2 linked regions of the Lonchura striata genome follow. The protein of the gene in region 1 interacts with the protein of each later gene in a biochemical or structural test. Links are inferred from orthologs where the notes say so. Each region holds a gene or a part of one and is shown in the gene's direction. Other genes may lie near its edges.

Region 1 (7,365 bases):
CATCCTTGGAATTACAATATACTCACTAAGACCATGTGTGGGTTTAGCTTGACTGACAGCTACCCTGTGGTGATGGAAACAAATACTTTCCTTTCAGTCTCTTCAATTTGTGCCTTCCACAAGAGTATTTCAAATTTAGGTGTTCGGTGAGGTGTGTTCTTATGTTTAAGTAACACCGTGTTATTTCCTTTACTAAGATTGTGTAGTGGTTGTTGATGCTCAGTTTCCCCTCAAATAAATGGTTTGTGAGGGTGGGAAAGAGGGGGCTTTCTCCCAGAAGCTCCTGGAAGACTTTATGTTCTAGACACAAATGCCACAGCTTGGTATTTTTGTTGGCACCTCCTACTCTGCCATATCGGTTTAGGACTTGTTCTGAAATGCTTGTTATGTGGTGCACACTGGCCGAGGGCAGACTCATGCCACCTAATTTTTTTATGTGGAGCACTGACCTGCATCTTAGCCTGTTCTCATCCACCTCAAACAGAGAGGCAAAACAAGCCTCACACTGCAAGTCCACAGCCAACTGCTCGGCCACCCAGCCAGCAGTGCAGGTGAGGCTCTGCATGTGCAGTGACAGATCTGTCAGCGCATTGCTCAGGGCAGAGCTGGGCAAAAGCAGGCCTGCGCTGTAGGGGTAGTCTGGGGCCAGGGTCTTGCCTGGAGCTGGCTGATACTGAGCACGAATGCTTCCCAGAGTCAGAGCTCTCCTCTGAGACGGGGATGCGTTCCAGGGGCTGGCATTGCCACTGCTGGGTGGCGAGCTGGGGGCCAGGCTGCAGCTGGCCAGCAGTTTGTGGTAAGTAGCCTGGAACACAGCACAGGTAGGGCTGCTGCTGCCACAGGCTTGGTGGAGGGCCCTGAGAAACTGCTCCAGGGGGTCCAGGCTGAAGGCATGTGTGTGGAGGTGGTGGGAAGGAGTGCCTTTTTGACATGTGTGGTTAGAGGAAAGCCACTTAAGGCTTTCAGTGTTGAGCAAGAAGCTCAGAAATCCCAGTTTGCGTTTGCTCTTAATAATGTATCTCCCCACAGAGTCTTTTAAATTGATAAAGCAGCTCCTGGCTTCATCGAAGAGGTTGCTTATTTTGGTGAAATTTCCAGCTAGCAAAGACTCCTTTCCATAGGGGCCTCTGCCATAAAACACATCGCACAGCGAGCTCATCAGACGCACAAACTTGACAGTCCCACTGCAGTTCTGAAATGAGGTAAGGCCCAGTTTCTGGAGGTGCTCCAGTGCCTCAGCAACACCCTCGCTGAACAGCAGGGTAGCGAGGTTGACCTTCAGGTGGTAACTCCCTTTACTCCCAGCCCTGCCTGACTCAGGACTGCACAGCTCCAACACCCTCTGCTCACCCAAAGCTGCCAGCTCCACCACATGCTGCCACCACATGATGTCACCGAGCCACTCGACCTTGTGGAAGCACTGCAGAGCATTCCTTATCAGCAGGAGGGTATGACAAACATCAAAGAAGTACGCAATGCTGTGAGCAGAACCGGGTGGATGCTGGAAAGTGCACTGAATCCTTTTGGGATCTATCCTGATCCCCAAAGCCCTGGCAGTCTCAGCACCGCGAGCAGAGGCACCCGATGTCACAGCCAGGACCATCATCCCAACGTTGTTCAGCTTATGGATGGCCTGACGAAGGAGCTGAGCAAGGAAGTTGCCGGATATACTGTTCACCAAGAAATAGCCAAGGGGAGCTGTCCAAGGGCTCGAGATGCCGACTGCCATGAGGATTATTGCTTCCGACGCCAGTGGAGCTTCGTCAGCGTCAAGGATGCCTGCTCCCAAGTCAACAAAGCCCGTCAGCTGTTTGCTCTGTGGGTCCCACTCCTGCTGCTTCTGCAGGGACACATCCTGTACCAGCACGGCGCAGTAGCGGCAGGCCTGATCCCCTCTCTCCACCTTTTCCTGAAGCTGGAGAAAAATGTCACTGCTGAAGCCTGCAGCAGCCTCGTTATTAGACAGCCAGCTGAAAAAAAAAAAAAAAAGGGATGTGATTAGGAGACATGATTCTGGAAAAGTTGAAGCAACAGGCAGCACTTTTTACGACTTAGGACATGGTCAGCCATGCCCGAGCTGCAGAGAAGGCTGAGACATGCAGGGCAAAGAAGGCAGCCCTGGTTTCCTTCATGCATAGTCCGAGTTTCTCTCCTCTCACCCTAGTGGTAGGAAGCCAAGGAAAGTGTTGACCATGCAGGGAAGTAACAAGGCAGCTTCAGGACAGATCCGTTACATCTATTTCTACACCAGTACTGGAAATACATTCTGAATAAATGAATAACTTAAAACTTGCTTTGTCAGACTGTAAGGATGAGGGAGAGGAAGAATCTTCCGTAGGTAATCATAGGCCTTAATATGGTAGAGATGGAGAAGACAAGCAAATTGCCTCATTTCTGGTGAGTAGTCTGCCATCTGCCTCCAGCTGTGCAACTCTCGAGGCAAATCTGCTTAAGAAATCACAAAAGGTCAACTTTAGCGAAACAAATAAATGGCTGGAAACAGAGGGATGCATGCCATAAACACCCCGCAGAATACAAAGCAACAGCATGGCCTCTGGAACAACTCAGTCCTGAAGGCTGGCATGCAGTGTAGGGCTCAGCAACTACACTACTGTGCCTCGCCTCTTCCTTGGCACGGGTTAAGCAAAGACATGAACCCGGGGCCAGGGAATGCACTCTGCTTCAGCAAGCGTCCCGGCAGTACCTGAAAACTGCGCCTGCAGCAAACTCACGATTTCCTCAGAAAGCTGCCGCTTTTCCGCCAGCTCCCTGAGGATGCTCGGCACGGTCCTGCGCCGATGCGCGGGGCCGCATCTCCCGGCGGCCGGCGGCTGCTGCTGGTGCCGCGGGGCGTCCGGCGGCGGCCGCGGCTCCCGCTGTCCCTGCAGGCTGTAGTTGTGGTCCCCGGCGGGCGGGCTGGGCAGCGGCTGCTTCAGCGTTCGGCCGGGGGTCCCGCTCCTCCTGCGCCCGGCGGCCGGCGGCTCCTGGCGGGGCAAGGAGAGGGCAGGTCACGGCACACGGCGGAACCCCCGGGGGGGTCGGGGAGCGCGCCCGGTACCTGCCCGCACCGAGGGGAGGAAGCGGGAGGGCACGGCCCCCCGCCGCAGCTTCCGCCGCAGCCCGTAGCGCTCGAAGTCCCCTTCGGCGAAGTGTCGGGAGCAGAGGATGGCACCGGGGCCCGGCCGCCACGCCCGGCGGCTCCGCGGGTCCACGCGGTTCACGGCGCGGATCCACTCGCGGCGCTGCGCGGCGTCCACCGGGAACCTGCGGCAGAGGGAGACGGCGGGATGCAGGGACGGAGGGACGGAGGGAGGGATGCGGGCGGGCGGCGCGGGCGCACTCACTGGTGGAAGGAGATGCCGCGCTCGCGGCTCCGCCCGGTGTCGCGCGCGGTGCAGCCCAGCGCGGAGCAGCTCCGCGTCATGGCCGCCGCCGCCGCACCCGCCGCCGCGCGCGCGCCGCGCCGGGCCCGCCCATTGGCCGCCGCCGCCGCCCGCGCGCCCGGCCGCCGCCTCGCCATTGGCCGGCGGGGCCGTCGGACCGCGGCCCTATTGGCCGCGTCACCGCGGGAGGCGGCGGCGGGGCCGGGAGCGGCCCGAGCCAACCGGGAGCGGCGGCGGCGGCGGGCGCAGCCAGTGGCGAGGGGCGATCCTGAGCGCCAATGGGAGCCGCGCCTCCGGCCCTACTTATAGCGGGGCCGGCAGCGCCCGCCGCCTCTGCCGCTGTGCTCCCGCCGGGCCGCGCCATGCGGTCCGGGCAGCGCCCGCCCCGCGCACGGCGTCTGCCCGCCGAGCGGCCGCGGAGCCCAGCGGCGGCGGGAGGCGGCAGCGCAGCTGTGCCCCGGCTGCCGTGAGGAGGTGGGTCCGGGACTGTGGCCCCCGGCTGTGGAAGCCGGCTGAGCTCCCTTGGGCCGTTCCCCGCCCCGAGGTGGCCCCTGTCCCGTGATGAGTCTCACTGCTGTTCACATCCTGAGCACGCCATGATTACTGCCCTTGAGCTGAGGACAGGCGGCACCGCGGCCACCGCGCTGCCGGCGCTGCGCCGGGCTCCCCCCGCTCCCGGCGCCCCTAACCAGTCTCCCTCTTCCCCAGGCCCGATGGCTGCTCCCGCCCGAGGGACGCGGAGGACACGCGCGGAAGGAGGCGGCCGCACATCCCCATACACACTCTCCCATCACCACCGCCCCCCGGTTCCCGTGCGGAAGGCGCGGCCCCGCCGCTGCCGCCCGGAAGCCGCGGGGCGCGCCCGGAAGGCGGTGGCGGCCGGGAGGCGGTGCCGGGGCTGCCACGTTGGAGCGGTCCGGGGACGGGTGAGCGCCGGGGACGCCGATGTGAGGGCAGGGACGGCGAAATCCTCTGTTTCAGTGCTGTTTTCCTCCGGCTCCTGTCGGAAACGGGGCGAGGGTGGCGGTCCCGCTGGCCGCGCGGGGTGCCCCGAGGCGAGGGAGCCCTGGGAATGAAATGGGAGCCAGGAACGAGCCGCTGAGTGTTCGGCTTCCCGGGGCTGGGTTGGTTTCGTGGGTTAAGGCACAAAGCTGCTGTAGGGTGCTTGCTGCTGTGAGAAGAGGGTTTTTCACAGCTGTTGAAGCTTTGCCCACGTTTTCCTGTGTTAGGTTCAGCAGCCGTCAGTTTCCTCTGCGTGTCAATGTTACTCTGCTAATGGAGAGGCATTCCTTCCCTCCGCCGGGTGCCCTCTGGAGGGGATGGCTTGGCTGTCTGTCTGAGGGATATCTTTAGAAAAATGGTCCCTCTGGCTGCTTCTGCCGAGTCCTAAAGTGGCTTCTGTATCCGTGGCAGTGCAGTCTCACCATGCACCATTTAAGCATCACTTGTCTTGGTCTTACTTTTCAGCAAAATGAAGCTGAAGGAAGTAGACCGTACTGCCATGCAGGCATGGAGCCCTGCCCAGCAGCACCCCATTTACCTGGCTACAGGTGAGTTTTTGGGCAGCACGTGCTAGCAGACCTCGGGCTCTGTTTGGTGGCTGCCATGAAGGGGTTATTGAAAGCTGTAGGAGATACTCTGTGTCCTGAGGGCTGGAGTGCAGTATATGTTGTGGGGTTTTGAGCTGAGTTCTTGCATTGTGCTGATAAAAACATGCTTTGCATTCTGCGAGTAACAGTGAGAACCCTTGTCTTTCTGCCAGGGAAAGGTGACACCAATCCTAAGTACTAGTCACTTGTGGCTCCTTTGTCACTTTAACTGCGTTCTGTGCATCATCAGGGAGGTACTTGCCCAAATATTTTCCTGCTCATATTCTTTAAGAAACATCCAAAGAAAGAGCCATGGGGAGGAAAGTTGTGTGGAACTGCATCTAAGTAATAAAAACAGAAGCCTGAGTCCATCTCAGGATCGTTTTTGAAAGGATGATGTTTTTGTTCCCCTCCTTGTGCTGCATTTGCAGTTACTGCTCTGTGTATCATGGCTCTCTCACTGCCAGGTGTGCTTCCTTGCAGGTACATCAGCTCAGCAGCTGGATGCAACCTTCAGTACAAGTGCTTCTCTAGAAATATTTGAGTTGGACTTAGCAGACCCTTCACTGGATATGAAGAGCTGTGCCACATTCTCCTCCTCACACAGGTAGGCAGTGTTGTAAGGGAAAAGTACAGTGTGTGGAACTGTTATGTGTGGTATGTGTAGAGATGTCACTTCATGTGGTTTCACTGCACTTGTTGAGGAGAGAAGCAGTTCAGCACTGAAAGATGAAGGCAAGTGTGTGCAGTTGATACTGTGGGACAGTGATGTTGGACTGTAAGAAAGTAGCTCATGCTTTGACATAAACAGAAAATTTTTGACTATATGTGTGGAGCCTTTATCTTTGGAAGCCTCTGGGATTCACAAGAAAACAGAAGAACATGTGAAATTTTGGTGGCAACTTTTCATATTGCATCATCCTGTTTGTATTTAGGCATTTCAGGGGGACTCCTGTAGCATAACTAACTTGGGTTATGTTGTGTGTGTTCCGACAGCTGGGAAGCCAATTTTCTGGCTGCACAGCTCTACTTAGTTCCTCACCATGTGCTTATCCAGATAAATATTGTTAGCATCAGAGTATCCAGTTTCCATCTCAGCAGCACTCACAGCAGCTCCCTGGCAGAACTGAAACAGCCACAATCCCTTTTTAAATGCCCTGCTCTGTGAGCAGAGCTGATGTCAATATGTCCTACTGACCTGCTCAGAGCAGGAGGCAGTGCTGGATCTTGAGTTTCGTTGTTCTACCTTGTTTTAACTGTGAGTGAAATTTGTCAAGACTTGTCATTTGCATTCTGAATTTCTAGAAGCACTCCTTATAGCCAGGATGCAGTGCTCCTTGGAAAGTACCTCCCTTGACCAGCAACACGAGAATTTGACTTTGCCCCAGAAAATGTATTAAAAATGAGGTTGAGGGTTGTTTGTTTGTTTCCAATTAAAGATTAGATAGCAATGTATACGTCAGGCTGTATTTTGGTTTTCAGCAAATGAAAATGTCCAGGTGATTATACCCACAAAAGATAAATCCTTAATTGCCCTCCAAGCAAAGTTTTGCACTGCTTTTATAGAACCATACTTTATCTTGGAAAGAGTAAAGGGCAAAAGGAAAGTAATTGCACTGTTAATTTTTGGGGTTTGTTCCTCATTGTTTCCTTCCTTCATTTTGGGTTGTTTTAAGTCCTGTTCAGTCTTGGTGGTGATGCCTGGACAGCCCTGTCAGCTACTTCATTTCTGGTAAACTTGCATAGTTAGGTGCAGAAGCATAACAATCATACCCAGGAATGGGTCTGTCTGATATCACAAACCAATTTCCATTTGTAGCAGCATTCTTCCATGAACCCCTTCTGTAATCTCAATACTGGGAGCCTGAACACTTGGCTGTTATGGTATTTCTCACCCAGCATATGCTCTTTGGGTAGCTTTCTGCAGTCTCCATCTTACCATGCTAAAGTTGGTGTGATTTAAATAAATTACTTGAAGATTGCCCAGAGGTAACAAATGGATGAGCAACATTACAGTGAATGCTAAGGTATCTCCTTGCCACTTTCCAGTCAATGTGGGTTTGCTTTCTGCTTGCATAAGAGCTGGTAAGTAGTTGTGTAATTTTATGCAGAACATACTCATTCTTTGCATGGCTAAGTGCACAGGAATGCTGTTTTGCTTATGCAGGAAGTTAATTGACTTGAAGAGAATTTGGGTATTTACAGATGGGCACAATAGTGTTAATTTCTGGAAGTATGTTTGATTCCTATTGAGTTAGCCTGAAAATAGGCTGTGGTCCAGGAGATGTGTCTGTGAGTGATGCTGAGTCCCTGGTATGGCAGACAAAACACTTGCACATCCAAAAGCATAGATACGGAAAAGCATATGGAATTTTTCTACTTTCACCTGTTTT
Region 2 (7,389 bases), on another chromosome or scaffold:
TAGAAATCATCACTGGGAGATCTAATCAGGACAGATGAGATGGCTGCAGAGGAAAATCCTGTTGCTGGGAGCCTCAGGTATCCCCTGAAAAGCTTATGCATTTTTATGATACATAGTTCCAAACACAGCTCAAGTTTTCATTTAATTCTGTCTTTCATCCCATTGGTACCTCAGCTCTACTGTCCCTCCCCTGATTTCGCAGATTGTCCTCTGACAGGTGAGTAAAGAATCGGTAACTTTTAGGCTCTGGACTCTACATTTCACCCCATTTGCCAAAGGCTGGGACTGCCCGTCCCTCGGTGACAAATGGGAACAGACAGTGTACCTGTGGCAGCTGGTGGCAGCTCAGAAATAACTGTTTTGAGGCCGATGCTGGAGATGTCTCGCAGCTGTTCCTTGTCCGACAGCATGTTCGTGCAGAGTGTGTCCACGATGGTCTCCACCTGGTACTCCTTCACTTTGCCAACCAGCGGGCCCAGGCTGCAGGAGGAGAAGCCACTCAGGATGAAGTGTCCAACTGTCCTCATCCTTCAAACCATCACACTGCTCCTTCTTAAAGATCCTGGCCACCTATCTGGGAATGACTGACATTTCGCTCTAAGCACCTCCTTAGGCACGGAAAGGAAATATTCCTGGTTCCATTTTGAGGCCTCCTCATTATCACACTCTGGATGGATAAGAGACTGCAATGAGTATGGACTTACTGCAAATACAACCAGAGATAACCACGCAAAGAAGTTGAGAAGTTGGTCCTCTGCTCAGTGCCCAATGGTTTTGCTTTAAAACCCAGAATAAACCAACCCAAAGCAGATACAGGAGATACAGGAGCAGGGCCAAAAGAAGTCAGGACAGTTGGAATCAAAAAGAAAGGACCAAAGATATCAGGGAAAGAACAGGGATAGAAACAGCACGTGGTTGAAAAGAAAGGAATACTAATAGGATCCACAGCAGGAAAAAACAGAGGAACCCAAAGTTGTCTTTAAATGGTACACCTTTCTGGAGTCCTGGGGTGAACTGAGCCATTCAATGGCATTTCTAGACTGAACACGCCCACTTAGCCATGCTAGGGAAAGAGATGGGAAAGAACATGTCAGCAGCAGGATCCCTTTATCAGAGGATTCACTAATAGAGGAACCTGCTACTTTTGTTCACTTGGATTAAAAAAATATGGGAATGGTCACAGGCAAAGCAACAGCACCGGCTGCTCTCAAGAGTCAAGGCAGGGAAAAATCCAAGTGCACTATAAAGTTCAATAAAAACTCCTTTGAAGAGAAGGATTTGGACCTGAAGTTAAAGCCTACTATGTTTAGTACCATTGCTATCAAAGACAGATCTACAGAGAAAATCAGCACTGGATTTCAAAGCCTGAGAGAGGTCAAGAGGTTGATGAGCAAAATTTTGAAGTATGCTTCTGCCTGAAGAAATAAAATCCTAGGGCTCCACCTTCCACATGGTAAGGTTTGTAACAGGAACACTGAAGTACTTCTAAAATCATCTCTTGCTGCTACAAAGGTATCTGTGTGCTCACCCTTGTGAGTGCCTACAAGGGGAGAAAGTGCAGTGCCTACAACAGAGAAGCAAAGTCCCTTGCAAAGGAGGTTTGAGGGAGGTGTCAAGGGCCAGGCTCCGCTCTCACACTCTCTGCAGTCTGTGATGATTTTATTAATGCCAGGGAACATAACTATTACTGCCTAGGCTCTTACCATTTGACAGCAAGGTTCTGTACTTCCCCATTTTTGTCCTCCAGCAATTTCAAAAGCATTTTCACAACTTTTTTCTCACTGTCTTCATCTAGTTTTATTGAGTCTTTCTGCAGTTCCATCATCAGGTCATTGGTGGCCATAAACCTGAAAGAACACAAGGAGAAAGTGGATTGGCTGATGTGCAGACACAAATGCATCACCTTTGCATCACCTGGACAGAATTTGGCAACTAGTGCTAAAACACTAGTTGAAAACACACTACCAAAGAGTAACTTACAACACTGTCCTAAGAAAAAGGAAAATTAATACTATTTTACAAGTAGATAACACTTACAACATAACACTAGATAACAAGTAGATAACACTAACAGGGGTCAGGTAAACAAAAACTCTAAAAGTGGCATGTAGCATGTGTATTTTTCTCAGCGACTAAATGAAGATGGTTAACTATGCCAGAAAAAAAAATCATGATTGGTTTTTTAACCAGTTTTTCACCTGGCCTAGGAAAAGCAGTCTGGGGACTAAGAATTCACCTAGCTCTGTTCTTTCTGTCTAACTTAGCACTGGTAGTATGACCCCAGACATGGTCAAGCCCTATCACTTTCAAAAATGAAAAAAGAAAGTCATGACTTCAAGCAAACTACACCTCAGAAGTGCACTAGGCTACATTTAGATTGCTGTGAGCAAAACCAGTCAAGTAACTACCATTCCAGATTAGAAAGAAAAACAAAGACCAAATTGACAGTTTTCTAACAGGAACAGAATGGATATTGAGAAGCTCTGGAAAGTATCTCTTTTTCCAGGAGCAGGAAGTGCAGAAGGTGCTGTTATAGAACTCTGAGGTTCTAAGAAATCTCAGTGTGGCTATCGTGTGTTAGCTGCTTTCCAATGTTAGCCCCACACAGAATGGACGTCTGACAGGAACCAGGAAGTCCTCTCTTGTTACAAAATGACAGCTCCTTTTTAAATTAGGCTTTGATGTCACTCATTCAGCACATAAGAGCTCTCATGTACAGGTCATCATTTGAGGCTTCAACCTGCAAGCCCGTTCCTGAGCAGCAGTGAGGCACACCTGAACGAGGGACTGCTGTGCTGTTCCCCAGCCAGCCCAGAATCCAGCCTGAGAAAACAGCAGTAATGTGCCCTAGGATGTTAACGTGCAGTCTATTTGTGATTCTGCGAGAGCTCTTCAGCCGCACTCTGCAGTTCAGCGTCTGTGTGGAACCAGCATGACCAATTATGGCCACAGGCTGAACAGAGCCTTCCGCGGCAACACATCCCGCTTTGGCCTGGCTGCCTGCTGCCATCCTGCCCCAGGAGCTTGGGATCTCACCAGCAGACCCATCCCTGAGGGGCAACAAGAGAAGCCTGGCCCTATAACAGGTCATGTTTAGCCATGTGCTGGGAGGAAGTGGCCCTGCAGTACCTCTGGGACATGACGTGCCTGGGGTCGGGCACATCTCACTTGGAGTGGTAACTTTCTTTGAACAAAACTGTTTGTACAACTGCTCCATCACTGACTTCTTTATAAAGTACCTATTTTAACATCTGAGAACATCAGCAGCTTCTACAAAAATCAACCTACTTTTAGGCTATTAGTAGCCCCTTTCTTAGACCTCAAAATACCAAGTCTGGCCCAAATATTACCTTCCAGTTTGATACTGGGAGAACAATATGCTAAGGAATGAAATCTTTCATACATGTCAGTTTTAATTACTTTTTGATAGAGTGCCTTACATATCGAGCCATCTGCCTAACCCTAAAAAGATGTCAACTTTTCTGCTGACATAAACAACGAAATAAAAGTATCTCAGTTCTGTTAGGAAGGCACATTTTCCCATCACAAAGAAAGTTCTCCAAGCAGCCTGAGCAGAGACAGTATGTGCAGCATCTATCACGCAGGGTCATGGGGGTCTACTCACCCCTTTTAATGCACTGACTATCTCACCAATTATCAAAAGAAACTAGAAGCATTTCTGCTACGATGTTCTTTATTCACAAAACAAATAACAATTTGGAGTCCAGCTGCCCGGACTTATTCCCCCTTCCCCTTTGACCAAGCACCAGTCTAGGCAAGGGAGGGGAGCGGCGCTGGCCATGCCCCCTGAGCCAGGACACAGTGGGCTTGATGCCCCGTAAACAACAGCGCTGCGAGCTCCCGCACAGCGCTGCTGCCGCGGCAGGACCCCGCTCTGGGCAGCCCCCTCCTCCCAGGGCCCCGAGGTGTCCGCAGGTGGCTGCCGCCCGCAGGGCCCGTCCCGCGGTGCCACACCTGAAGTCCTTGTCGGTGGAGGTCATCTTCTCCAGCAGGCTGGAGATGTGGTAGGAGACGCTGGCCATGGCGGAGGCTCTGCGGGCCCGAGTCGCGGCCGCTCCGCTCCGCGCCGGGCGGCCCCGAGCCGGCGGGAGGAGCCGGGCCGGGCGGCCCTGGGGCCGACAGAGGCTCTGTCCGCGGCCGGCGCAGGACGGGGCAGCGCCCGGGGGCCGACAGAGGCTCTGTCCGCGGCCGGCGGTGCCTCTGGTCCTCGCGGCAGGACAGGGCAGTCCCGCTCCCCCCTCGCCCTCTCCTGGCCCAGCCGAGGCAGCGGCCGCCCCGGAACCCGGCACGAGCGGAACGCCGTCGCAGGCGGGCGGGGCGCGGCGGGGCCGGTAGTGCGCGGGACCGGCGTGCCACGTCTGAGCGCGCGGGCGGAGGCCGGGCCGGGAGCGCCGGGGCCGGGAGCGGCGGGGCCGGAGCAGCCGGGCGGGAGCAGCCATGGTGAGGCGGGGGGGGCGGGCGGGTCCCGGTGCGGGCCCGAGCGCAGCCGGGTGCGGCCTCGCGGGGCACCGGGCACGGCACAGGGTACGCCGGACCCGGCGGGGCGGCCGGGGATGGACCGGGGCCGCAGGGGCCGCGGCCGCGCTGAGCTCGTTGTGTTCCTTCTCCCCGCAGGTGTCGGTCATTAACACCGTGGACACGTCCCACGAGGACATGATCGTAAGTGTGCCGGGAGCTGCGCCGCCCGGGCCGGCGGCTGCTGTGGCAGAGCTGCTCTGGGGCTCTCTGCGAGCACTCGGGGCCGCACGTATGTGCTGTAAGAGCGCACTTGTGGGGTCCTGGATGCAGAATGCGGTGTGAAATCCTGATCTTGCCGTTTTATACTGCGTGGAGAGGAAAACTTTGCTGGGAGGAAAAGGGAAAATTATTTTAAATCTTAATGTTCATGTGAAAATTAAGGCTTGTTTCTGCCCGTTTCTGTGAAGTAATAGTATATTTTCTGGTACAGACCTTTGGTGGATAATAATGGTTTTCCTTTAAGTGGATGTATCTGGGAATAGATGTATTATTGTGGGTAGGCAGAAACGCTTCAAAGTAATTTGTTGAAGGTAGGAGCCCAGTTAGGTGAGCCTAGTTCTTCAGGAAGAATTTCTTCACAGAAAAGGCTATTAAGCATTGAACAAGGCTGCCCAGGGAGGTGATGTAGTCACCATCCCTGAAGGTGTTCAGGAAATGACTGGTTGTTGTATGCAGTGTTCTGCATAGTGACAAGAGATAACCTTTGGTCAAAGGTTGTAGTCAGTAACCTTGAACGACTTTTCCAGCCTTAAAGATTCTGTGGTTCAGTGATGGTGAAGTTTCAAATATAATTAAGAGCAGTATTTGTACACCCACTTGACATTTTAAGAAACAGAAATACATAACTGCTCACCTCTTCGTAGTCAGCAGCCTCTATTCCCTGTCATGAAAATGCTGTGGTTGTTGCTCAGAATTCCCTGGACTCCTGTGTAACTTTTGTGTAGTGATTGAGGAAGCAGCTGGGGAAGCTAGTTGGGCATGCGTGGGTTGTTTAGAACCGTTCCTCTGACCTGGTGTGCAGGGCCTGGGGTGGCTGTGCTGCAGCAGTCAGTGGCCGTGCCGTGCTGAGCACAGCCCTCCCGCTCTCCTTGCAGCACGATGCACAGATGGATTACTACGGCACGCGCCTGGCGACCTGCTCCTCTGACCGATCCGTGAAGATCTTCGATGTCCGCAACGGGGGGCAGATCCTCATTGCGGACCTGAGGGGGTGAGATGTCACACCAGGAGAGGTTAACTGGGGCAAAATCTTGGTGCTTTGCCTGGTGCTTTGCCCTTCTGCCCTTGGGCAGCACAGAGTGCAGGTTGACTTGCATGCAGGGTGAACTCCTCCAAGACTGCTGAGGAGCTTCTCAGAGCTGGGGTGGGGACAGAGCCCCAGTGGGAAGCACAGTGGGGCTTGATCATTCATTTAGTACTGTGCACATGTGATTTTCAAGAAGTAATATACTGCTACAAGTTGGAATTGTTTTCTGTGGCAGTGAGAGCCCTGTGCTGGGACACTAACATTGCCATCTTGGCATTACTCATTCCTCATGTCAGAGCTCTAATCCCTCCCAGCACAGCACTTCACAACGGTGATCTGTGAGGCAGCTGCAGATGCAAGGGGTTTCTCTCAGCTTTTCCTAATGATGTTGTTTCTTGCAGGCACGAAGGTCCCGTGTGGCAGGTTGCCTGGGCTCATCCTATGTATGGGAATATCTTGGCTTCCTGTTCCTATGACAGGAAGGTTATCATCTGGAAGGAAGAAAATGGCACTTGGGAAAAGACCTACGAGTACACGGGACATGATTCTTCAGGTATGGAGGGCTGGAGTGTGGAGCTGGGAAGGAAAAATGAGGAGATGAGGGGATTTGGGTAAGACTGATATAAATCTGTTACTGTTAAGTAAGAAAGTCTGTGTCAAAAGGAAAAGGATAAAAACTGAAGAGAGAGTAAATCTGTTCAGCGCTAACAAGACATTTCCCTAGGGTTGTATTGCTGGATAACCCACTACTGATTCATACCATGTGTCCATAAGTGTTGGTACACAAATAAGTCAGCTTTCAAATAAAGATGTCACGGAACTGAATTCTTGAGGAAAATATAGTTTACAGTTAGAAAAACTATTTAACCGTGCTGTATTTTGTTTTAAAATTGAAAATGTTGTGTTCAGATGATTTACCCTCCCAATGCAGATCTGTTACTCAGTAAACAATGCTAATTGGCTGGCTTCTGCTGAAATTTGACTCATTCTCAGCTTTCAAAGCCACTTGCTTTTGGTGACCGTGCCACTGATACCAGTCAGTGAATTGGTCAGTCAGCTTTAGGTAGTCGCTGTGCTGTAATCTGGTCTGTCTCGCCCTTCCCAGTGAATTCTGTCTGCTGGGCACCACACGACTATGGACTGATCCTGGCCTGTGGGAGCTCTGATGGGGCCATTTCCTTGTTGAGCTACACGGGTGATGGGCAGTGGGAAGTCAAAAAGATCAGCAATGCACACACGGTGAGTCTGGTCCTTTGGAGCAGCTCAGAGTTCCCAGAGCTGCAGATAACACCGAGGTGATGCCTCAGAGACATGAGTAGATAAGTACTGAAATGTGATGAAATTATGTGAAACATCCAGAACCAAGAATAGTTTCAGTTCATCCAGAGTAGGAAGGTATATGTTTTAGTCACTAAAATGTGAAATGTAAAGTGGAAATATGATGAAGTTCACTAAACAGCACTGGCAATGCCTGTTTATTGGGCATTATTGTTAAATACACTGCTGAAAGCTACCTGGTAAGAAATGGCCTTGGTTCTAAGTATACATGCATCAGCTGGAAAAAAATGTGGGACTTCTGTTTTTTTCCCAAAATTGTGTAGATT

Evidence for each region. The genes of interacting proteins can lie anywhere in the genome.
Region 2: the proteins of SEC31A (region 1) and SEC13 form a complex in vitro, tested with the Homo sapiens proteins (2 studies listed by BioGRID and IntAct, with this or other methods). The link is inferred for Lonchura striata from reciprocal best matches to the Homo sapiens genes SEC31A and SEC13.

What each region holds. Positions count from the first base shown.
Region 1 is NC_134606.1:60,924,012-60,931,376, reverse strand, and holds the start of SEC31A (protein transport protein Sec31A), read left to right. Parts: upstream 1-4,193; 5' UTR 4,194-4,309; intron 4,310-4,850; 5' UTR 4,851-4,854; coding exon 4,855-4,933; intron 4,934-5,455; coding exon 5,456-5,579; intron 5,580-7,365. UniProt on the Homo sapiens protein: Component of the coat protein complex II (COPII) which promotes the formation of transport vesicles from the endoplasmic reticulum (ER).
Region 2 is NC_134614.1:23,854,976-23,862,364, reverse strand, and holds the start of SEC13 (protein SEC13 homolog), read left to right. Parts: upstream 1-4,362; 5' UTR 4,363-4,458; coding exon 4,459-4,461; intron 4,462-4,635; coding exon 4,636-4,680; intron 4,681-5,633; coding exon 5,634-5,749; intron 5,750-6,186; coding exon 6,187-6,338; intron 6,339-6,890; coding exon 6,891-7,024; intron 7,025-7,389. Other genes in the region: cullin-associated NEDD8-dissociated protein 1, read right to left, coding at 326-480, 1,704-1,847, 3,976-4,043. UniProt on the Homo sapiens protein: Functions as a component of the nuclear pore complex (NPC) and the COPII coat. At the endoplasmic reticulum, SEC13 is involved in the biogenesis of COPII-coated vesicles.